Rhinolophus ferrumequinum: one gene and its partner. The protein of the gene in region 2 binds, or shares a complex with, the protein of the main gene of each other region. Links are inferred from orthologs where the notes say so. Each region holds a gene or a part of one and is shown on either strand. Other genes may lie near its edges. The genes, in order: MMP2 and TIMP2.

Region 1 (11,442 bases), on a different chromosome or scaffold from region 2:
AGATGGCGGTCATGCAGGGAGGAGTCCCTTTGGCTACTGAGTCTAATTGTTGACTATAATATCCTATAAATCTAAGATGAACTCTATGTTTTTGAGCTAAAACTCCAAAAGCTGTTCCTTTACTTTCATGTAAAAAAGGAAGAAAGTTTATCAGTAAAGTGTCTCAGAGCAGGAGCTTTAGAAAATTTTTCCTTCGGAGCTTTATAGCTTGTTTCTCTTCTGGGTTCCATTGAATTGGATCAGGTTGAACTGATTTTAATAAGACTTATAGAGGATGGGCGATTGCCGAAACATTTAACATCCAACTGTGACAGTAACCAGTCAGACCCAGGAACCCACTAAGCTGCTTTTGTTTCTTTTAGAAAAGGAAAGGAAATTATTCCTCTGAGCCTTTCATGGTTCATTAGGAGCTCATCTTTAGATGTTAGATGACCAAGGTATTTTACTTGGGATAAACAGAGTCAAAGCTTGTCCTTTGAGGCCCTATGTCCCTTTATAGCTAGTAGCTCTTGTAATAGGTAGATAGATTGTATCCTCCTGGGAATCTACTATATCCCAGAACATAAAGTAAATCATCCACATACTGGATTAGAGTGGAATTTCTGGGAAATTCAGTATCATTCAAGTCAGCATTTAGTATTTGAGAGAAATAGGTGGGACTCTCTGTACACCCCTGGGACATTACTGTCCAAGTAAAGCCCCGATCTTCCCAGGTGAAAGCAAAGAGGTCTTTTTTTTTTTTTTTTTTTGACAGGAATGCCGAAAAAGGTAAATCCATCACTGAAAAATATTGGCAATCCACAGGAATAGCTAATAATAGGGTATGTGGATTTGGAACCACAGGATATCTTTATTTATAGCTCTGATGTCCTGTGCAAATCTCCATCCTTTCCCATTGGGTTTCTTTACTGGAAGGTTAGGAGAATTACAGGGGCCCATGCATGGAGTTATAAGCCCCCTTTTTATGTATCTTGTAGAATGGGCTTAATTCCAGCCAGTTCATTAGGTCTTAAAGGATATTGGTGAATATTAGATAGAGGCAAAGTACTGTCAATAGTTATTTTAATAGGAGTGGCTTAGTCTTGCCAATATCTGTACCGGAAAAGGCCCAGAATTGCATTGGAACGTCCTGTAACAAACGTTCAGTCAGTCTCAAGACTAGTTTTCTCTTGTGCAGTTTCCTTTAAAGTCATTATTTTCTCAGTTGGTTCAGTATCTGATTCATTTAGTTCTAAATACTTTTCATCCTTTTGGGAAAAGGATATGTGGGTGTCATCGGTTTCAAGAAAGTCTCACCATATCAGGTGAATTGGGACAGATTTGACTAGTAAAAAATATATGTATGTTACACATAACATTCCCAAGTTGGAAGGGAACAGGTTCTGATTTAAAAACAGACATTGGTTGATCAGATGTCCCTACCATTTGTAAAGACGCTTAGTCCAAGGGCTAGGACAACTCAGTTGGGTAGTGTTAAGAATAGATAAAGTAGCTCCGTACCTACAGTTCTCTTTACCTACATTCTCTTTTTATGGTAATTTCAAAAGTATTTGTAAGGAGAAGGGGAAATGCCCTCTCATAGTCCTTGGAGCAGCCCAATGCTTGCTTCTGTTTCTTTTCTTCTTCTAGATCCCATTTCAGTTTTCTGCAGTCCTTCTTAAGGCAACCTGACTTTTTAAGATAAGAACAGATTCCTCTCTCCCCTTATCTAAGAGACCTCCGGGGAGGTCTGACCTGATTGCTTAATTGCTGGAGCTGTAAGTTCATGATTTTGGCAGCTTTGTATTTTTGTACCTTTTGAATTGTTTTAGATAGTTGATCAGCCAGAATTACCAATTCATTAGTACACGTGGTCAGCCAGTTTAATTTATGCTGTTTAATCAGAGTTCCAGCTCTTCATCTTGTCCTTCCAAAAAGGCCGAATTTATTATATTAAGGGATCATTTTGATGATCCTTAAACTGTCTGGAGACAGACCTGTGTATTGTTTGAACGTTTCTTTGTAAAGTTCAAGGAAATCAAGCCCTGTTTCATCAGGCTCTCTTTTACATTGCTGGATCTTAGTCCTGTCCATTTTCTGGGGCAAAACATCTCAGATATGGCTTGGTAAAGCCACAGGGCTAATTCTCTGCATTTTTCTTGGTCTGTCTCTGTTTTAACAAGTCCTCTATAGGGGCTTCCCAGTGAACCTTATTTACCCAATCTGTTGCTTTCCTCTCAGAAACCAGTAGGTATATTAACTGGAAAAGGTCAGAATAGCCAGGATCATATGTTCTAACAGTTAAATCAAATTCCTTTGCAAACTCATATGGTCCCAGAGAGTGAGGGAAATTTTAAGGTAGAGTCCTTAATTCTGTTCTAGTCAAGGAATGTGTACAATCACTGGTTTTCCTTTGCCTGGCGTTTCTCCAAAGGGAGCTGCCAGAATTTCTGTTGGATTTTGTTTTTTTCCCCTAGTCTACCGTGGTCTGGTTTTCTAGTCTGAGTGTCCCCTAGGTCAATAGAGAGCTCTGGTGAAAGAGGTGGAGGAGAGAGAGAGAAGGGGGAGGGGAAAAGAAAGTCCAGACAACGAAGTAAAGAGCTACAGCGGAGCAGTTGGAGAAGAGAGAAAAGTGGGGCTGTTGGCACTGAGCAGTGTCAGAAACTTTCCTTACTTAAGAGACAGTCTCTAAAATTTCCTTATTAACTTCTTGGAGATAGTATCTCTGTGCTCTGTTTCAGAGGCTTCTATTTGCCAATTGAGGTAAGCCTCCCATTCATTCTTTTTGATTTTAGAGATGGCTTTTTTCTCCTATGGTGCATGCAAAAAAATAATAAGAATAAGAATTTAGGTGTAAAAATAACTCCATTTCGGTCATCTTAAGTTGATATCACTTCTAGTTAAATCTTTTTTCTGTAAGTACTTGCAAGTAGAGTTTCTTTATGAATTGTACATCTACAAGAATATTAATGGGGCTGGAGGCTGGGGGCTTGTTGTCCTGGGAGGCAAAATTTCCCAAGTTCATTTTAGTTTTCTTCTGAGATCTGCAAAGCCTGAACACATTTCTAGGGCTCTTGGGTAGTGGGCTGAAGTGGACTGCTTATGAGCTCCAAGGTGCTGTCACCTCCCGAGTCACTCCAAACTTCCTATGTGTCTCAGCTTCTTTCCATACTATCTAATAAAACTGTGAGGACCCAGAGCGCGCTAGGTAACAAGCTTTTATATGCGTGTCCCAGGGCAGCCAATTGTTTAATTGCAGGGGTGTTGGAATTTCCTATGGGGCCCTGCTCATTTTGAGGACTACCCTCAAACACCTCCACATAGTTTCTTAGTCACCTCGTACCCGAAATTTGAGCTGAAGGGAGTAAGTGCCCCTTATCTTTGGAGCCGAACAAGTTCAGACTCTCATTTATCCAGCAAAAGGTTTTGTTCAGACTCACAGTAAGTAATTTCCGTTGGAAAGCCGAAATTAAAAACCAGCCACCCGGTGGCTCAGGCAGTTGGAGCTTCGTGCTCCTAACTCCGAAGGCTGCAGGTTTGATTCCCACATGGGCTAGTGGGCTCTCAACCACAAGGTTGCTGGTTCGACTCCCTCAAGGGATGGTGGGCTGCACCCCCTACAACTAGCAACGGCAACTGGACCTGGAGCTGAGCTGCACCCTCCACAACTAAAACTGAAAGAACAACAACTTGGAAAAAATCCTGGAAAAATACACACTGTTCCCCGATAAAGTCCTGTTACCCTTCCCCAATAAAATCTTAAAAAAAAAGAAAAAGAAAAGAAACAGCCACCCATTTCTTTTTCTCTGGTCCCTGAGTTATCTCAACCCTTGTCCTTAGCCTGGGTTATTTCAACCCTTAACCTTTAGTGCCACCTTGAGGATTTATTCCCCCCTAAGATCAGCTCAAAGTCAGGGCCTTAAAAAAACTACCTTAAAATAGGGAGGTTCAGAATTCCAAGAAAAACTCACCCAAGGTCACCTAAGGCAAAGTGGGGAGCCCATAGGGCACAGTGGGCCCCTGCTGGTACCGAGCACCGGGTCAGGGTCCACAGGGTAGTCCTGGGTGGGCTTCTTTGGAATCCTGCCAGCTGCACCAAGTAAATGTCAATGAAAGAACACCCAGCCTAAAAAAAAGTTTTATAAGAGTTTATTTGAGCCAAACTGATGACAATTGCTGGGAAGCAAAATCTCAACAGACTGAGAAAATGCTCCAGAGAATGGCAGTTTTGCAGCTTCTTTTACACATTAGAATCAAGGGAGAGGACATAAGGAGGGTTATGTGAAATCCGTTAGTGGTAGATTAACAAGGCGGGAGAAAGCAAAGCAGCGAAATCGCTGGGATTGGATAAAAAGTGAAACGGAGAGAGACACACACTTCTCTTACATCAGTGGATGCAGGATAGTTAATAATTAACATTTGGGGCATGTAGAGATGGTATTCGGGGAATAAGATGATGATGAGGGGTGCTGTGGTCTCTAGATGGTGCATGCAGTTGTGCCGTGAGGGGTCTGGCAGAGATTATGCTGACATTTCAAAAGTATGTTATCTTACAGGCAAAAAGACCAACAGACAGGCTCACTTATGGCAAAGACTGACCTTTGTCAAGGAAGCTACAGGCCTAGGATCTGACTACCTGCCATGACTTGCTTTCAGTTAGAAATTTTTATGTTGATCATCCTATGTGGTTACTTTGGTCTCTGAGTTTGTCGGGCCCGCCGTGCAAGCCTCCGCTGAGCTTGTCAAGTTTAGTGCGTGGCCCCTTTTTCATCCACAGGGGCAAGTGATGTCAATGAGCAAAACTAAGCTGAGTGAGTCACATGCAAGGCAATAGAGAATGGTGGGGACTGTGGCAAACCAAAATGCATGCCTCATCTAAAAGGAATAGCAACTATTTAGCTTCAGCTAATTGTTGCCAGGTGGAAACCGGATTGCCAGAGCTTTGGGAATTTTTAAAAGGATAGCAAAAAGTCAGATTTTGACATCAAGTTTCCCAAGTTTCAAAATGCTGTTCCGACTGGATTCAGCCCACAGGCCACGAGTTTGCAAGCCCTGCTTTAGTGAGACAACTTTTTCCATTTTCACTCCCAGCTCTGGCCTCTCCAACTTGGCTCTCTGACTCTCCACAGGCCATGGACTTGGGCCAAGTGGGGCCCAGACAGGAGGCAACCCCCTCCCCACTGACCTCAGACTCACCCTCCCCAAAACAGCCAAGGCTTCTCCCTAGATCAGGCTGATAGGCCAGCCTCCCTCTTGCAGGACAAAGTCCCTCCCAAGTGGCTCCTTTCACTCTGACCTCTTGTAGGACAGGAGAACATGCCTGCCAGGCAAGCCTGTATTTTGTTTTAAGCCCACTGAGATCCAAGCTGCAGACGGCTTTTACTGATATTAAGATAAAGGCCAGGTTCATCACCACGACCCCCAAAGCCCTCACAGGCAGATTGTTGCTGACCCTTTCAACCCATGATTTTCTTCCTCAAATTGGACCCTGCTGACTGCCAGGCCCATCTCATCACCCTGCCCCCTACCTTTCTCAGATAAAGGGAACTCCCTTCTCCAGTGCATCCTGCTGTGTTTCATCTCTGGACCTTTGTATGTGTTGCCCCAGACTGTGCCTGAAACATCCCTTTCACCGCTCCCAACCCAAACCTTTGTTTTGTAGCTCTTCAGGTCTCAGCTCAGAAGTCACTTCTTCCAGGAAGCCTTCCCTGACCATCTATACTAGTTTAGAGGCTGAGGTAAGGTGTTGCCAGGACCTGCTGGAGATCCCCCATCACAGCTTAGCACTTAATTATTCTTCCTGAGAGAGGGAGGGGACATTCCTGAGAGACAGGTAGCAGGACTTCTGTGTTTCCAAGTGTATATCTATTAGGTTGGTGCAAAAGTCATTGCGGTTTAAAAGGTTAAAAATAATTGCAATAACTGCAAAGACTTGTGCACCAACCTAACAGCACCTAGCATTATGCCTGAGGCCCAGTAAATGCTTAAATATTTGCAGAAGGAAGAAAGAAAAGAGGCAAAGAAGAAAGGCAGGAAGGGAGGAAGGAAAGAAGGGAGGAAGGAGAGTGGGACACTCCAGTTTATCTGTTTCCATCTGTCGCTTTCCATTTTGTCCATCTCTCTCTATCTTCATCTCTAAACATCTACAATCTTTCTCCATCACGTAGCTGACGTCTGCTTCTGACCCTTCCTTTCCATCTCTGACCCGTGTCCCTGGAAGTGCTGACATTCTTGCCCCCCGGGCGTCCTTCCAAGAACCGCCGTTCTCCAATATCGTGAGTCTACAGTGGTCGTGGCAGATGTTTCCCCGCAGGGGGTCTCTTAGGCTTTGTGCCCGGATTGGTGTGTAGGGGTAAAAAGGTCGCGCCCTGCTGCTGCACGCAGAGGCCTGGAGCAGCAGGCGGCAGGGAAAAGAGGCGGAGAAAGGCAAGGAGGATAAAAGAGGAGGGCGAGTGGGGGAGTGGTGCGGAGAGAGGCGGGCCTGAGCGCCCCCCGCCCCCCCCCACCTCCCTACATTGCCAGCGCCCTCCCAGCCCAGCCGGCCACATCTGGCGGCTGCCCTCCCTTGTTTCCGCTGCATCCAGACTTCCTCCGGCAGCGGCTGGAGGCTGCGCATCTGGGGCTTTAAACATACAAAGGGACTCCGGGACCGGCAAGCACAGGCGGTGGTGGCACGGGCCGGGGAGCGGGGGCCGGACCATGCGCGGCTGAGCGGGCAAAGCAGAGGCCGCCGAGTCTAGTGGTCCCTTGGAGCGCAGCGCTGCGCGGCGGAGCAAGCGCCAGCCAGGAGGCGACTCAGCCACACGCGCCGAGCCAGTGACCCCTGGGCGACGTGTGGGCCCGGGAGAGCAATGACCGATGCGCGAGTGGCCCGGGGCGCGCTTGCCGGCCCCCTACGGGCGCTTTGCGTCCTGGGCTGCCTGTTGGGCCGGGCCGCCACCCGGCCATCTCCCATCATCAAGTTCCCCGGAGATGTCGCCCCCAAAACGGACAAAGAGTTGGCTGTGGTGAGTTGCTCCGCGGGCCTCAGCGAGCCAAGTTTATAAAAACTAGGAGGCGGAGGGTGGGGGTCTCCCAGCCATACCTCCTCCCTACCTCTGGGGACAGACAACATGGGGGAGGGGCTTCAGTAAACAGCTCGGTGGGGGTGGGGGTGGGGGTAAAGTCGGCCTGCTGGAGGAGGGATCTGTTTTGGAAACCATAGGGGATCTTTGGTAAGTGGAGAAGGTCTTTGATAAACCACTTGGCAACTTTCAGGACACAGCAGGGAGGAGAGAAACACTCAGGGAAGGGAAGGAGGTGCTTTGGCAAACAGCTGGAAAAGGCCCCTTTTGTAAATAACGGGGACGTTGTATAGTATCTGGGGGATTTGGCAAGGGGGCTGGCTTTGTAAACAACTTTTGGACACATCTGTAGGGTTGGCTAACCAGGCCCTTGGCTAGCCTCTTGGTAGGCCTTTGGCAAAAGGCCTAAAGGGGTCCCTTTTGTAAACGGTGGAGGATCTTTTTAACCCCCTGCAGCACTTTGGGAAGGGGATTCTTTGACGCACAATTTGGATAAACTCTTGCACACGTTAAGTTCGAGTTCCAGGCCAAGCAGGACTTGGCAAACATCTGGTAACCTTTGGCACACATCTGGACAGGGGCCTTGGACAGACCTGCGTGAGGGAACCTTTGGGCAAATATTCAGGGCAGGAAGGAAAAGGAGAGCGCATCTTTTTTGCCTGGCTCAGTGGACAAGTTGGCCTGGAGAGTCAAGGGTTGGACCTCAGAAAGTTTCCTCGAACTTCTGCAAAGAGGTTGGAGGGCAGGAGAGAGGTGGCCAGCGGGGCGGGGATGGAGAGAGGGGCAGGCGCAGGAGGCCTGGCGCGTGGGGCGGGGGCGGTGGAACCCGCGGGTGGGAGAGTGGCCAGCCAGCCCTCCCTCCTGGCGGGGCTCCGAGCTGCGGCTCAGATGTTGTTCTGAGAGGGAGCACGCCTGGCTCCAGGCGCACCCAGGCCTCAGCGGGATTCGGGGGGCAGCGGAAGGGCACTACCCCTCACCCTGTCAGTGCCTCAAGCAGGAGACCCCTCAAAATGTTCCTTCTAGCCCACAAGACATCTGCCCCTTATTGCTTTAACTCCCTAGAAATCCCCTATGCTCCATCAGCCTGATCCCCAACCTGCCCAAGACAGCACTTTTATGCCCCAGGTCACCCTGGGCACCCCTTCTCAGGATGTGACCCCCCCTTTTCCTGCATCTAAGCCTCTGTCCCTTCTGCATAAATGGGTTGGGAGACTTTACATTTTTAGGGGGCTACTTTTCTCACAGGTCTGGAGCTGGCTGGCATTGTGATGTGGCTCTTGGTTGGGGGTGAGGGTAGAATTTTGGAGCATTGACAAAGCTACCTGGGCCCCCACACCTTCCACAGCGTGTGCAAGTCTATGTCGCCTATAGGCCATGCAGTGGGAGGTTTGAGAAGTGGGCTTCAAACGCCGGAGTGCACTCACCAACTGGCCTAGTAAGTGTGGGCAAATGACCACCTCTCAGTCTCAGCTTCTTGTGCAAAGGGAGGATGATAATGATACCTCTTGGACACTTTGAAGTAGCACATGGTAAGCCCTCCATCAGTATTAGTCATTATTGTTATTATTATTATTCTTATACCCTGTATCTTCCCTTTTCTAACTATCCCCCCAAACAAGGTTATGGCCCCTGTAAAAGGGTCTCCTGACTCCTTTCACCTTTCTAATGCAGTACCCAGCACATATTTAATTTTGCATTTATTTCTGGTCCATCAGCCTTCTCCCATTGGGGTTTGAGCCCTACAGACTAGAAACATCTGTTGTGTTCACCAGTTTATCCCAACACTAGCAACAGGCCTAGAACATGGGACATACCAAAAAGTATTTGTTGAACAAATAAATGAGCTGCTTGGTTCCTGACTCTTTGTACGGGCCTGTTTGGTTTTGGCCTTGGTTTTGGCAGAGCCACTGCACAGCCCCTGAAGGACAGGACTATTTTCTTTTTGAAAATGATCATTCCAGGATATGAACCCAGGTCTCTGCGGCTGGAGCCCATGCACATAGCCCCTGAATCTCTCTATAAGAAAAGTGAGAAAAATAATCCTTATGTCATCAGCAGTTAGGTGGATTAAAAGAGGTGATGGAGGTAAAGAAGGGTGGTGGAGCGTTACAGTTCTGATCATGGCGCTGGAGCCAGATTGCTGGGGTCCAAATCCAGCTCTGCCATTTGTGAGCTGTGTGATCTTAGGCTAGTTTCTTAACCTCTCTGTACTTTAGTTTCTTCCTCTGTATGATGGGGAGAGTAATAATAAGTACATTATAGAGTTACTGTGAGCATTACAGTTACGTGCTAGCTTCAGTGCCTAGGCATATAGTAAGCACCCAGTGCATGGTAGCCATGCTCTCTGTGGCTGTTAAGTCTCTCAGCTAGTGGGTGTCAGAGCTGGTTTGGGAACCCAGGACTCCACCTAGTGCCCTGGGGCCCCTGGATTATGTCCTCTCTGAGCTATGGGGCTGGACGGGGGACTAGTTATTGTAGGGCTTTGGTCAGTACTATGCCATCCTAATGTGGCTGCTTGCCTCTGTTGCTCATTTCTTCCAGCAATACCTGAATACCTTCTATGGCTGCCCCAAGGAGAGGTGCAACCTGTTTGTGCTGAAGGACACACTGAAGAAGATGCAGAAGTTCTTTGGACTACCTCAGACAGGTGCCCTTGACCAGCGAACCATCGAGACCATGCGGAAGCCACGCTGCGGGAACCCCGACGTGGCCAACTACAACTTCTTCCCCCGCAAGCCCAAGTGGGACAAGAACCAGATCACGTACAGGTGCCGAGGCAGGGCTGGGGCAGCAGGGCCTCTGGGCTACGGGACACGGGGTTTCCTTGGGCCTCTCCCCACTCCGGGCAGCCAGGAGGTGACTCAGGAGGACTTAGCATCTTAAGAAGTTTGCATACAAAGTTCTTAGGAACCGGAGTCAGACAGACCTGAACTAGAATCTCATACTTACTAGGTGTGGGGCATTGGGCTACTTATTTTTCAGTGCCTTGAGCCTTGGCTTTCCAATCTACAAGATGGGAAACAAAACCTTCCTCATAGGTTGGTTGGGAACGAAGCTAGGTCACATTTCTAAAGGGCTTTCACAGTGTCCAGCATCTAGTAACAGTGTAATACCTGCTAGCCACCATTGTTACTAGATGGGGTCGTTGGTGTCGGTGGAGGGAGCTGGATGATTGGTTGCTAATTGGTTTTATGTTACAGTATAGAGTGGCTATAATTGGCTGTTGATTGAGCTGAGAGCTCTGTTCTGTACAGCTCATGCTGGATTCCAAGGATGAGGTCTCTGCCCTGTGTCCCATATGCACTATTCATGTCCCTGTGTGTCCCCGCAGCCAGAAGTAAGGGATGGGAGTCCTGAGACAGGGCCTGAAGGTGTTGGCTCATCTAGGACTGCACGGAACCTCAAGCCGTTCTGGGCAGGCTGTCCTCCCCGTGAGCTCTGCTCAGCACACGCCGTATACCTGCACAAGCATGGACACTCACAGGCACACACTTGTGCACACTCCAACGCATGCACCCCTCTTGCTTGTGCACACACCCACACACCTGTGCACATACACCCACCCTTGCACACATTCATGCACTCACACAGTTGCATATACACACACTTGCACACATGCATGTATGCTTGCATGCATGTGTATACACATGTTCCTTTGCACACACGTACACACTCATATGCATTTCTCCTACCTCCAGGATCATTGGCTACACGCCTGACCTTGACTCTGAGACGGTGGATGATGCCTTTGCTCGTGCCTTTCAAGTCTGGAGTGATGTGACCCCCCTACGGTTTTCTCGTATCCACGATGGAGAGGCTGACATAATGATTAACTTCGGCCGCTGGGGTAGGAGAGCTGGGGCCAGCAGGGGTTCAGTAAGGAGAGGGGGTGATCTGGCCATTAGAGAGGCACAGGGTCCCGAGGGCAGCTGAACGAGGAGAGTAGGTGTAGACACTGGAGCGGCTTAGATGGTCCATGTGGATGTGAGGGCAGATGACATGACACTGGGCCTTCCCTGGAGGCCGTGTAACCCTGAAAGAAGCAGTCTTCCTGCATGTCCAGCATGGTAGCCCCTAGACACCTAGGGCTATTTACATTTAAGTGAGTTACAATCAAATGAAATGTAGAATTCAGTTTCTCGGTCACACTAGCCACATTGCCAGTGCTCAGGAGCCCTATGGGCCAGTTGTGATGGACTGAAACAGCACAAAGAACATTCCCGTCGTCGCAGAAAGTGCAGTTGGGTGACACTGGGAGACACTGAGGGACTCTAGGTGTGAGAGTGGATCTGAAACAGCGGAGCAGTGTAGACATGAGTGAGTGGAATAGAACCTGGGGTTGGGGGTGTGAACACTGGCTGTAGTGGAGGCACGAGGGTAGGTAATGTAGACATTGTGA
Region 2 (10,803 bases):
CTAGAACTCTCTCACCTTTGCCTGGGCAGTGGTCCCTTTGCTCAGCACACCCACACACGCGCCCACACTGCCACCACCAGCAGTGCACTTAAACCATGTCTGGGTACATGTCCCCAGCTCTGTTCTCAGATCTAGGGGTCTTCACACTCCCCTACCTCATTTCCCAATTCTGCTCCTTTCTCTTTCCAGAAGGACCTTCCTAGGCACGGAACCACTTGCCCTTGGACCTTGTGTGTGCGCACGTGTGTGTGCACACGGGGATGGAAGGCAGAGAGGAGTCAGCAGCATTTACACCCACCACACACACTCCTAGTCTGCCGTTTCTGTCTTCTCTTTCTCTCCTTCCATGCTTATTCTTTCTCCTGCTGTTGTTTTCATCCTCCAGGCTGCCGGGGGTCCTCCAAGCACATCTCTTAGCTACTTTGGAGCCCAAAGGACCCATCCCCCCACCCCCATAGGCCCTTGGGCATCATCAGGTCAGTGGCTCTGCATCAGGACTAGGGTGGCTTCGAGCCCCCTCCCCTGTCAGCCTGGGAGTCAACTACACCGGTTCTCCACATGCTCAAATGTCACCAAAGGATTCGAACCACACAGCCCACACATGTGGGAACTGCCTGGCAGCCCAGCCGAGACAGAGATGAGGTAGGTAACCAAGTCTGAAGCTCACGGACCACTGGCCAGGACTGGACTGCAAATTCTGGAGGACGGAACGGGTCCCAGGCTGGTACCACGTCCTCAGGTCAGACAGGGAGGAATGCATGGCATCAGGAGGGCTCCCTCCAGCCACCTGCCACACCCACTGTACAGCCTGTGCCCTGAACACATCTCTTCCAGTCTCCCAACCATGGGAGCTGCCAGCAACTCACATTCCAGCCATTCCCAGGGAGAACATGTCCTTCCAGAGACACTGTCCAAAACCGAGCCTAGGCGCTCCAGTCCCACCATGACCCATCCCCCACCTCCCACCTGAACCCTGTATCTGCAGATCCCAGGAGTGCGTACCACCTTGGCACACCGTTACTTTGTTGTTTGCCTGAAGCACATTGACTCTTACTTGACACCACGCCCTGGCGGGGGTGGGGGACCTGCAGGGCTCCTGCCCACCCTGACCCACACCGCCTGGCACTGGTGTCTAGCGCTCCCCCTGAGGGCAGGGGTAATGCCCGGCTTCTTCGCCCTTACACCGCCTGAGCAGAGCCAGTGCCCCCACAACTGCTTGTTGAAACAGCCTGATATGAAACCCAGCGTGTACGAAATGCGGATCAATTATGCATTTTGGAGAAGTCACCACCCCACCCCGAACCCATGGACCCCAGGCCTGATTGCACTCATCACCTTGCCTCCCTGAGCACACGTCTGGGAACGACAGAGCCATTCCTGAGAGCCTGTGGCGCTTGTTCCAGGGCGGCCACGGTCTGGCCCCCATCAGTGCATGTACAAGGTCGGCTGTTTGCCCTGGCAGCCAGGACGTGGTCTTGGCTGTGAGCCCTTCCCCACCTGGTGCTGGAGACACCATCAGAGGGTTCGCAGTGTCTGGACACGGAAAATCTTAAGAAAGATGGCACTGCGGGCGCCCTTCTGGAACGATGTGGCTTTGGACATCGCTACCCAGGCCGGAGGGAAGATTTTATTCTCTGGGTTCCAGAGACTGGTCCGAGCAGCCCAGAGTGCCAAAGCCAGTATCCAGCCGGGTCACTGGAGCTGTGCAGGCTTGCCGTAGATGGAGAAGGACTCCATTAGACAGAGGGAAGCGGGCCAGCAGCACATCCGTGCGGTGCTCTGAGGCACGAAAGGCTGCCCGCTTACCCTCACTTTCCCCCCCAGGAGCCCAGATCGCCTCTTCCCACCCCCTTCATCCTAAATTTCGTAACCTCATAATGAACTATTTTCACAGACCACAATTCCAATCCCACCGGCTGTAAAAGCTGGGAGACACCTCCCAGAAATCCTTACACAGGCAGACAGAAATCTGCTTCTTAAGCCAACAGCCTTTTGCAGACACCAAGCCATTTAACAACCTGCATCAGGCCAACAATTACAGAAGCCAGCATGCTGCATTAAAGGTCAGCCTTTAGCATCCCCCAACATGCACCAGGCTATCATCCTTTTCCAGAACCCTGGGCCACAGTTCTGATGGCACAAAGTCACCTGTGGGGATTCAAAACTGTAAAAGCAGAGGTCTGAGCCAGACTCTACATCTGCGAAGGGTACTGAGACCTGAGTGATCGTTAAAAGATCCCAGGCAATTCTGCTCTCAGCCCAAGAGGAGGAATGGGGAGGGATTCCCGAACCTGCACCATTAAAGGAGCAGTGACGTGAAAAGGCCATTGCTTTCCTTGCGAGGTTTACTCCAGGCCCTCCAGGGCCAGCCCGGGGATGTCTCAGCTCGGTATTCCCAGCCCACCAAACAGGGAAGGGCTGACTGTGGAACAAGACTGGACAGCCTAGCTCAGATTGCATCCTCCCAAATTCATGGCCACGCAGACCTGTGAATGGAACCTTATTTGGAAACGGGGTCTCTGCACATGTGATCAAGTGAAGATGAGGTCATGCTGGATGTGGGTGGGCCCAAATCCAATGACTGGCGTCCTTATAGGAAGAGGGAGATTTGGACACAGACACAGACCGAGGAAACAGCCATGTGGAGACAGAGCAGAGAGCGGAACGATGCGTCTGCCGGCCAAGGACCGCTGGGGCCACCAGCAGCCGGGAGAGGGGCCCGGATGGATTCTTCCTCAGAGCCTCCAGAAGGAACCAGCCCTGCCCACACCTCGATTTTGGACTGCAGACCTCCTAAACTGTGAGAGAACCAATTCCTGTTGCTTGAAGCCCCCCAGTATGTAGCAGTTTGTTCCAACAGCCCTTGGAGTCTAACACACTGGGTTCTGCCCTGAAACTCTGGCATCTGCAGGCCCCGCCCTCCCAGCCTCGGGCTGCGATGGGATTAAGGCTCCATGATTTTGATGCAATAATTTGGACACAAACAAGGGAGATCCAGGCGGAGGAGAGAGTAACACACAAAGCAAGAAGGAGCCTCCAGGCATAATGAAGCTCCCCAACCCTGACCTTTGCTGCCCATGATCCAAACCCCAGCCCCAGCCCGCCCTGGGCAAGCACTGAGTGGCAGGAGCAGCTGAGAAGTGTGAGGGGGTCCCAAGGCCCAGCCCCTGTCCCCTTGGCTCCTGTGAGCCACGCCGGGGAGTCTCAAGAGCCATGATGCCTTCTGGGCCTCAGCCTTATTTTGCGCCACAACTGGTGGCCAGAAGCATGGCTTCTCTCTCAGCAAAGGGGCCTGGACAGGCCTGGACGTCCAGGGGACACCCCACGGGAAGGTAGATCCTCCCAACGGAGGAACCTCTCCTGCCCCCTCAAATCTTGCTGAGCTTCAAAACCAAATCAGAGAACAGACCTTCCTTCCCCCAGTTAGGGTTTTGTGGAACCTACTCAGCAAGCACACCCCACGCCCAGGTGGCCTGAGCCATGTGATACCACAGGTGGCAGCACCTGAAGGCTGCCCAGGCTAGGCCGCAGAGGCAGCTTAAAGGGCCAGCTGGGGTGTGGAGGAGTCCAGGAGGCACGGCTGACAACGGGGGAACCCAGAAACCCCAGCTTGGAGCCTATGCAGGTGAGTGCAGCCCAGCTGCGACAAAGGAACAGAAAATAAAGCTACTGAGAGGTCAAAGGGCGCTGCAGAGGCCCGCCCACCTGCAGGGCATCTGTCCTTCTGGTGAAACTGAACTTGCCCCAGGACAAGCTGGCTGACCTTCCCCAGAGCTGGTGAAGCCTGCAAGCATCAGACCTGGATGGGAACCTCTGGGGCCCAGCTGGTTCCACCCATTCCTGCTGCCCCTTGAGGACCAGAACAAATAAGTGGGTTTCTCTTCCCTCCCTAGCTCCCACCTCTGGGGGGCAAGAAGTCCTGAGAATAATAGATATTTCCGAGGGGCTCTAAGCAGCCACACAACCCCACCTACCCGCTTCCAGTCACTAAGGTCTCCAGTTTTGGTGTGTCCTGAAAAGTAGTCACCAGCAGCAAGCAGTAAGGACCCTCCTGGGCAGAACACGGAGCAAGGGGCCAGCCCACGGGTTCTGCAGGCCTCTCCCAACGGCCCCTCTGAGCCCTGGAGCCTGCCCGCGGGAGGGAAGCTTTCATCCCGCCCCCCCTTTAATCCGGTGAGCCCCCAAACGGGGCTGGTGGGAGAGGCCCAGCCCCACCCAACCCCAAGCCCAGAGGAGCCCAACTGCCATTTCACCTGTGAAAGTTTCTTCCTGGGGTCCCCAGCCCTCCAGCCCACAGAGGCCAAGACTCCCCCCCCACACACACACACACACGCTGTGTCCCCCATTATCCCCCACCCCCGCGCTGGCATCCCAAGGGCCCTTCGCCTGCCAAAACCCAATCCGTTCCCTGGCTCCCTTTTCTGGGGCTGGAGCTGCAGCGGAATTTCGGTGGAATTTTGAGGTTGAGAAGCATCTCGGCAGAGAGGGAAAGAAAGGGAGAGGAAGGGGGAAAAGAAAGTGCGATTTTGGCGTCAACTTGCAGGATTCGAGAAGGCGCTGAGGGCCAGAAGGCGGGCGGGGCTCCTGCGAACCCTCGGGGGTCCCGCGAGCCCCGCGGGGGAGGTCACCCACCAGGCTTGGGCGGGTCGTCGTTCTTACCTACATCTGCATTGCAAAACGCCTGTTGCGGGTGCACCGGGGAGCAGCTGCAGGCGTCGGCGGGGCGGAGCAGCGTCCCCAGCAGCAGGAGGCCGAGCGCGAGCCACAGGCTGCGGGCCGCGGCGCCCATGGCGGGCGGGGGGCGCGGGCCGGGGGCGCGGGCTCGGGGCTCGGCCGCCGCCGCCTGGGCTCGGGGCGCTCCCCTCTGGGCGGACTCGGTGCGCGGTCTCACTGCGCTCCCGGGCGCTCCCTCCGCACCCGGCACGCACTCGCCCGCACAAACTTTCCCGGGTCTGTGTCGCGGGGGAGGCGCGAGGGCGGGGGCGCGGCTGAAGCGCGGAGAAGAAAGCGGTGGGGGGCGGCGAAGCGAGCGCGTGTGGCGCGGGTCCCAGCTCCTCCACAACCTTCTACGGATGTGTGCGCTGCAAGCTTGCACCGACCTGGCTCTTTATTGAGCTGGGAGGGTGTCGGGCTCCGCCTCCAGTGGCCGACGACCAATGGGGCTCCAGGGGCTCCAGTGGCCCCGCCCCCGCGCCTCCCGCGCCTCCCAGGCCCTACCCCAAACTCGGCTTTTGTTGTGCCCTGGGGGGCCCGCCGCTGCGCACCTGGCTTCCCACCGCCCTAGGCAGCACTCCGCAGCCTCTCAAACCGACAGAGGTTGTAGTGGGGGGCAGGATGCGAGGAGGACAGCGCATCAGGCGGCCCTGACTCAGCACTTGGGACTCGAAGCCCCCCCCCAAGGCACCAGGCAGCCCACCCACCACCCCTACCCCTTCCCCTCCAGCTTGGTATGGGAGGTGTACACTGCCTGATTCCCTTCCACCTTTGGGGGCCCTTAGATTCTAGCCAGAGATTGAGCAAAAGGGGTGTGAGCTTCGGAAGAGGGACCATTCTCTGCGGCCCCCTCCCGTGCCTCCTTGTGGGTCGGTGGCCTCCTGAAACTTACTGAGGATTCATTTTTCAAATGGAGGCCTCAGAATTTTAAGGCCGCTTAGTCAGTTTAGTTGGTAAGGGAGCAGGAGTGGTTACTATGAACAAAACAGGATTTTATATAAACTGGCCATATTTTGACCAGCCCACAAGAGCCAGGGGGCTGGGCCCGGGAGCCCAGGAGGTGGTAGGATTGAATGAAAGCATTTGCTGGGTTCTGCTCACAGTTCCCTCCCTTAGCCCACAAATGTGGGAGCTGTAGAACTCTTCCCAAAACAGTTCTGTGTTCCAGGAAGGGCAGAAGATCTTAGAGGTGTGGACCCGGCACGTGAAGTGTGACCCCGGGGGGATTCTGTCTACCTGTCATTGAGCCTGCCCTGAATCCCTTTGCAGTGGGCGCTCTTACACACAGACCCTCCCTCTTGCCCACAGGATGCTTCGAATCCAGCTGGGGAGATGTAAAGGGAGGAAATTAAAGAATAATTGCCTGCTGAACTGTGTGGTGCTGACTTGAGATGTGAAACTGGAAAATATTTAAAGAGTGGAAAATCATTTCTTTCTACTTATGTGTCCTTTGAAACAGACAACTTGAAGAAAAGTTAAATAGGCAGAGGAGTTATTTTTAGCACCCTGACAAAAACCCAAAGTCACTTTTTTCGGCCTTTGTTCATGTAAAATAGAGTAGTGTTACATGTTCTCTGCTCCACGGCCAAGAGGGGGGCAACAAGACGGGAGAAATTCAGGGAAAGGGCTGCAGCTCTGACCTCACCCCCAAGGAGGGAGGATGGGGTCAGTTTGCCTCAAACCCAGGCAAGAGAGAGAAGCAGGTGGGAGGAGCCCGGGGCGCACCTTGTCTCCCAACCGGCCTCCTCTACTTTACTGTTGGCAGTGGGCGAACAGAGGAGCCACACAGGAGACACCGCTCCCTGCAGTGTGCATCTGACTACAGCCTGCAGGACCTCGGCTTGTTACGTGTGGCTCCCAGCAGAGCAGAACTCAGGATAGACAGGAGGGAGCATTGCCTGCTAGGCCAGCTGGGGAGGGGCTGGCTTCTAGCACCCTCAGACCACACCCCTGGGGCCACCACTTCTGACCAGGTACACTCACCTGCCTCCCCCCAAAGAGACTTTCCCAATTTAGAGCCCAGCAGAACCCCGCGGAGCTGTCAGCCTTCCCGCCCAGGTCTGAGCACACCCAGCAAATACATCCTGGGCTTGGCTTGGCAGAGTAAATGTTGTCCAGGGCCAGGAGGAAGCGCCGAGGCCTCCTCCCTCCCACCCCACTCAGGTAAAAAGAGTCAGGATGACCTCTCAGGCCTGGGCAAGAGGTGACCTCCATCCAGTGAGTCTGGACAAGAGTTGGAAGCATGTCTTCCTGGTGGACTCATCTTCCGGTTTGCAGGAGATCCATTTCCTCCCATGTCCGGAGTGTTCTCTCCCTAGAGAGAGCTGGTGCTGAGCTGAGCCCCCACACTTCTTCCAGCAGGTTCTGGAAAGCCAGATGCTCTACGGGGTGTGGGCATCAAAATAGGCCCCCCGTACGCAGGAAGCTGGACCCGAAAGGGTGGAAATGTCTTGGGCAGGTCTGGGGGCAGCAGGCAGAGGGTGGCTGTAGGGGGAGGTGGTGGGGGTGTCTCTTGCCTGGCTGTCTGGAGGTTTCTGTGGTTTGTGATGCGTCTCCTCAGAAAGGAACGGACAGCTGACTTCAGGGTCACGATGGCCCCCTCTGTCAACTCTGGGCAACAGGAGGCAAGTGGCATCTCCCAGCCCAGATATCTGTCCCCAACATTCCCTGGTGGGCTGTTTGCCATAGGACGTCCTGAAGATGACAAGGAGTCAAGAATGGCTGGGCCACCTACAGCATAAAGATGGGCAACAGTTCCCTGCACACTCCACATAAGCCTTTGTGGTCAGCGGTGGACGTTCTGAAGCATGTTCCTATTTTTGTTTCATTTCATCAATTTCATCATTAATGCTCTGCAGCCAGGGCCAGCTTCCAAGTCCCCGGCCCTGCTGACCTTGGGCTACAGCATTGGGGGGGGGGGCACCCTGGGCTCTGTGGGGTATTGAGCAACATCCCTGGCCTCCACCCTCTAAATGCTGATAGCACCCCATCCCAAGTTGTGACAGCCCAACATGTCCAGACATTACCCAGTGTTTCCTGGGGGGTGGGTGGGGGAGGGAGCATAACCACCCCAGCTGACAAGCCCTCACTTAGGGAAACTAATAAAAATCTTGGCTCTTTAGAAAAGCAAAATGCAAAGTTCCATCGCCTGTGTCAAGGTCGAGCAGAGTAATGCCCATAGCAGCAAACCCACGTCAGTGTGTGTTCCGGGTGCACCACCCGTCCACACTGGTTCTCAGGGGAGGGAGGGAAGCAAGGGATAGTGAAAAGGTTGTCCTTTAAAGGCGCCCATGAGTAAATAGCATGGATAATGTTTCATTCATGTGAAATGAAACATATGCATGGATATAGACAGGTGTAGAAAAAGGTGTTTGCAAAAAGTGAGAGGAGTGGCTCTGGGTGGCGGGAACTTAGGTGACAGGACAGATGTCACATCCTCCTCCTTGTGCAGGAAAAACAACTTCCAGAGGAGGACCCTAAAAAGGACCGCTCCAAGAGCAGGAATACGGGTTTCTCTGTGCTGTCTGTCTGTGGAACACCAAAGCCTGCCTGGCTGCAGCTCAAGGGCACATGGGTCTGGGGGGGCACGTCTCCCAGCACCGAAACTGTACTGGCCCAAGGCCTTTACTCTCAAACGACCCCACTCGTTCACCAACACTGCTCTTGGCTCACGCCTCCCACTGGGGGTTCTTTTGCTGCATCCATGGCTGCATTTCTTGTCATCCTCTAGGGCATCTTAAAGAAAGTGGGGCTTGGCCTCTCTCTGCCTGTACACCTGCCACCTGCCCCCTTTCCTCTCCTCCCAGGCAGGCACCCTTTGGGGCAAAGGCAGCCTTGAGCCAGGGCCTCCACCTTGCAAACCTGTCTGGATATCAACTCCTGCTCCCCAATACACGGAACTCAAGCCTTCAGGGCTGGGGCTGCATGGTCCAGTCTAGAGTGACCCCAAAAAGAAGGGAGGGAGGGAGGCTGTCAACAGGAAGCCCAAGAAGTCATGGACTTGAAGAGACAGGCGCATCGAAAACATCTGGGAGCAGACAGCCCGGACTGAAGGCACCTGAACACCTCCTCCAGGCAGGCGCCCTGTTGCAGCAGCGGTATCAGCCCCAGGCAGGGAAGCCTTGGCCAACCTTGTTCTGGGGGCCTCTGGGATGGCACTGCCTCGCCTCCCTGCAGATGCGTTTTGCCTCCCCCAACTCAGAAGGTGCTGTCCTGCACGCCTTCCTTCCAGGATTGAGGGAGGGTCCACCATTCCCAGAAGGGCACACACGGAGCTCTGCCTTCCTCTGCCACCTCCCACAGCCCCACCTGTGTGCCTCCTGCAGCTCCTGCACTGGGCCTCCTCAGACCCTCCTTCAGACGTCGTCGTCGGGAAAACAAAGGAGTAAGAGAAATGTAAGCAGTCGCTCCTTTCAGGCCTGCTGCTGTGCGTTTTCTCATGCCCAGGGCATTTCCTCTTGGCCCTGGGCATGTGGTCATGTGCTTCCTGTCATGGGCGGGTTAGGGAGCAGGGCCAGGGAGCAGAGATGGGAACCCAGCGCCCGTCCATCTCCAGCTTCCAGGAAGCAGCCTCAGCTGGGTTCTGGGGACCAAGGGCTGTCCAGGAGCAAGGGGTGGGACACCTGGGGAAGGGCAGCCCAGCTCGGCAGGGGTTTGTTGAGGCTGAGTTTTCATAGTTTCAGGTTCCCCTCCCTGGAAGCCCAGAGGCGGGAGGCTCAGGTTTCCCGCCTGCCCGCCATTCTTCCCTTCCTTTGGTGTCGGGAGTGACGGGCCCATGGCCATGATGTCACCGCCTAATCCAAACAGAAGAGGGCTGGTTTGGCGGCGTTGGCGGAGGTCCCATGCTGAGTGCAGCAGTACATTTCATGTCAAGGCTATGATTAGGGCTGTGCCCAAGAATTCCCTCTCCCTTTCTCTCTCCTTCCCTCTCCCCAACACCGTTTTCTTTCTCTGTTCCTGCCTTGTCTTCTTTCCCCTGCTGCTGTCTCCCAGGCTCTCTCTTCTTTGGGGGTGCTTCACGTTCCCGGTGAGGCCAGCCCTGCAGTCAGCAGCACCAAGCTCTTTCCATCCCCCGCCCAGGTTCTTGTCACCTTCCAATGCCAGCCCAGCTCTGTGACCAGCTTTGGAGCATAAGGAATAATAGGTGCCGGCTCCCTGGCGTCATCCTGTGGAGTGTGTACAGGGTGAGGGGGAGGGGACAGAATTCCTAAGGCTTCACTCAGCCCTGAGCTGAAAGGCCAGACAACAGAAAGTGCAGGGTTTGGGGGGGCTCTGTCACCAGCAGAGAGACCAGAGGCCATGGGCCATGAGAAAGGCGAGGGAAGCCCGGGTCCTCAGAAAGTGACTCACGGGTCCTGACCGCCATTTCAAGCTGGTGTCTGGAGTTTGGGTCTGGCTCGCTCGCTGACTCCGATTCTGGCACTCCCGCCCTCTCCTCAGCTTTGAGACGGCCGCCCAGCTCCACAGGCCGGAGGCAGAGGCTCGCTGTCTGGTACCCGCGTCTCCCTGGACCTGCCCGGCCCCGGGAGAAGTGGGATGCTGCGAGCATTCATAGCCCACTCTGCTGCTTCTCCTCTTCCTGCTTGTCCCTGGTTCAGTTCTGATGCTCGGGGGCCCGGGAACAGGGCTGACGGCTGGCCCTTGTTCTCCACGTCCTGCTTGGCGGCCCCTCAGAGGTGTCGCCTGGAGACCCCAGGGGGGGCACATGGGTCTGGGGGGCACGGCTCCCAGAACCGAAGCTGTACTGGGCTTCCTCCAGTCCCGGAGGGTGCTCCAGGTATCCTGCAGTGCTCCCCATCGAGTTGGACTGTGTTCTGACCCCTCGGGGCAGATGGGGGGATAACCCCAGTGTGGCCTCCAGGGGGGCAGGCATCCCCTGCCCCCTGCCCCAACCCCCACCAGACACAGATCACCCTCCAGCACTCCTTTCCTGCAGAGCCTGGAATGGCCCAAATCCCTCCTCACCTTGCTCCAGGCAGCCAGCCAGCTGAAGCTGTCTCAGGGTTGATTTCTGTTTTAGGAGGTTCCCAGCTGGGGTTGTATGCAGAGCAGGTCACCCTAAAGAAGGGAGAGATGGAAACCACCCCTCTG

What was found.
Region 1: the proteins of TIMP2 (region 2) and MMP2 are in contact, whole or in part, in a crystal structure (PDB 1GXD), measured with the Homo sapiens proteins. The link is inferred for Rhinolophus ferrumequinum from reciprocal best matches to the Homo sapiens genes TIMP2 and MMP2. Residues at the interface, in NP_003246.1 of Homo sapiens: Ile162, Pro163, Cys164, Tyr165, Ile166, Pro169, Leu173, Met175, Val178, Thr179, Phe191, Arg196, Asp198, Ser200, Cys201, Ala202, Trp203, Tyr204, Arg205, Ala208, Lys211, Gln212, Glu213, Phe214, Leu215, Asp216, Glu218; in NP_004521.1 of Homo sapiens: Trp574, Lys576, Asn577, Lys579, Tyr581, Phe588, Arg590, Lys595, Asp599, Phe602, Lys604, Ile606, Ala607, Asp608, Ala609, Trp610, Asn611, Ala612, Asp615, Tyr636, Leu638, Leu645, Lys646, Ser647, Val648, Lys649, Phe650, Gly651, Ser652.

The regions. Positions count from the first base shown.
Region 1 is NC_046298.1:8,772,041-8,783,482, forward strand, and holds the start of MMP2 (72 kDa type IV collagenase), read left to right. Parts: upstream 1-6,495; 5' UTR 6,496-6,830; coding exon 6,831-6,986; intron 6,987-9,584; coding exon 9,585-9,811; intron 9,812-10,741; coding exon 10,742-10,890; intron 10,891-11,442.
Region 2 is NC_046304.1:52,687,786-52,698,588, forward strand, and holds the start of TIMP2 (metalloproteinase inhibitor 2), read right to left. Parts: upstream 5,093-10,803; 5' UTR 4,790-5,092; coding exon 4,660-4,789; intron 1-4,659. UniProt on the Homo sapiens protein: Complexes with metalloproteinases (such as collagenases) and irreversibly inactivates them by binding to their catalytic zinc cofactor. Known to act on MMP-1, MMP-2, MMP-3, MMP-7, MMP-8, MMP-9, MMP-10, MMP-13, MMP-14, MMP-15, MMP-16 and MMP-19.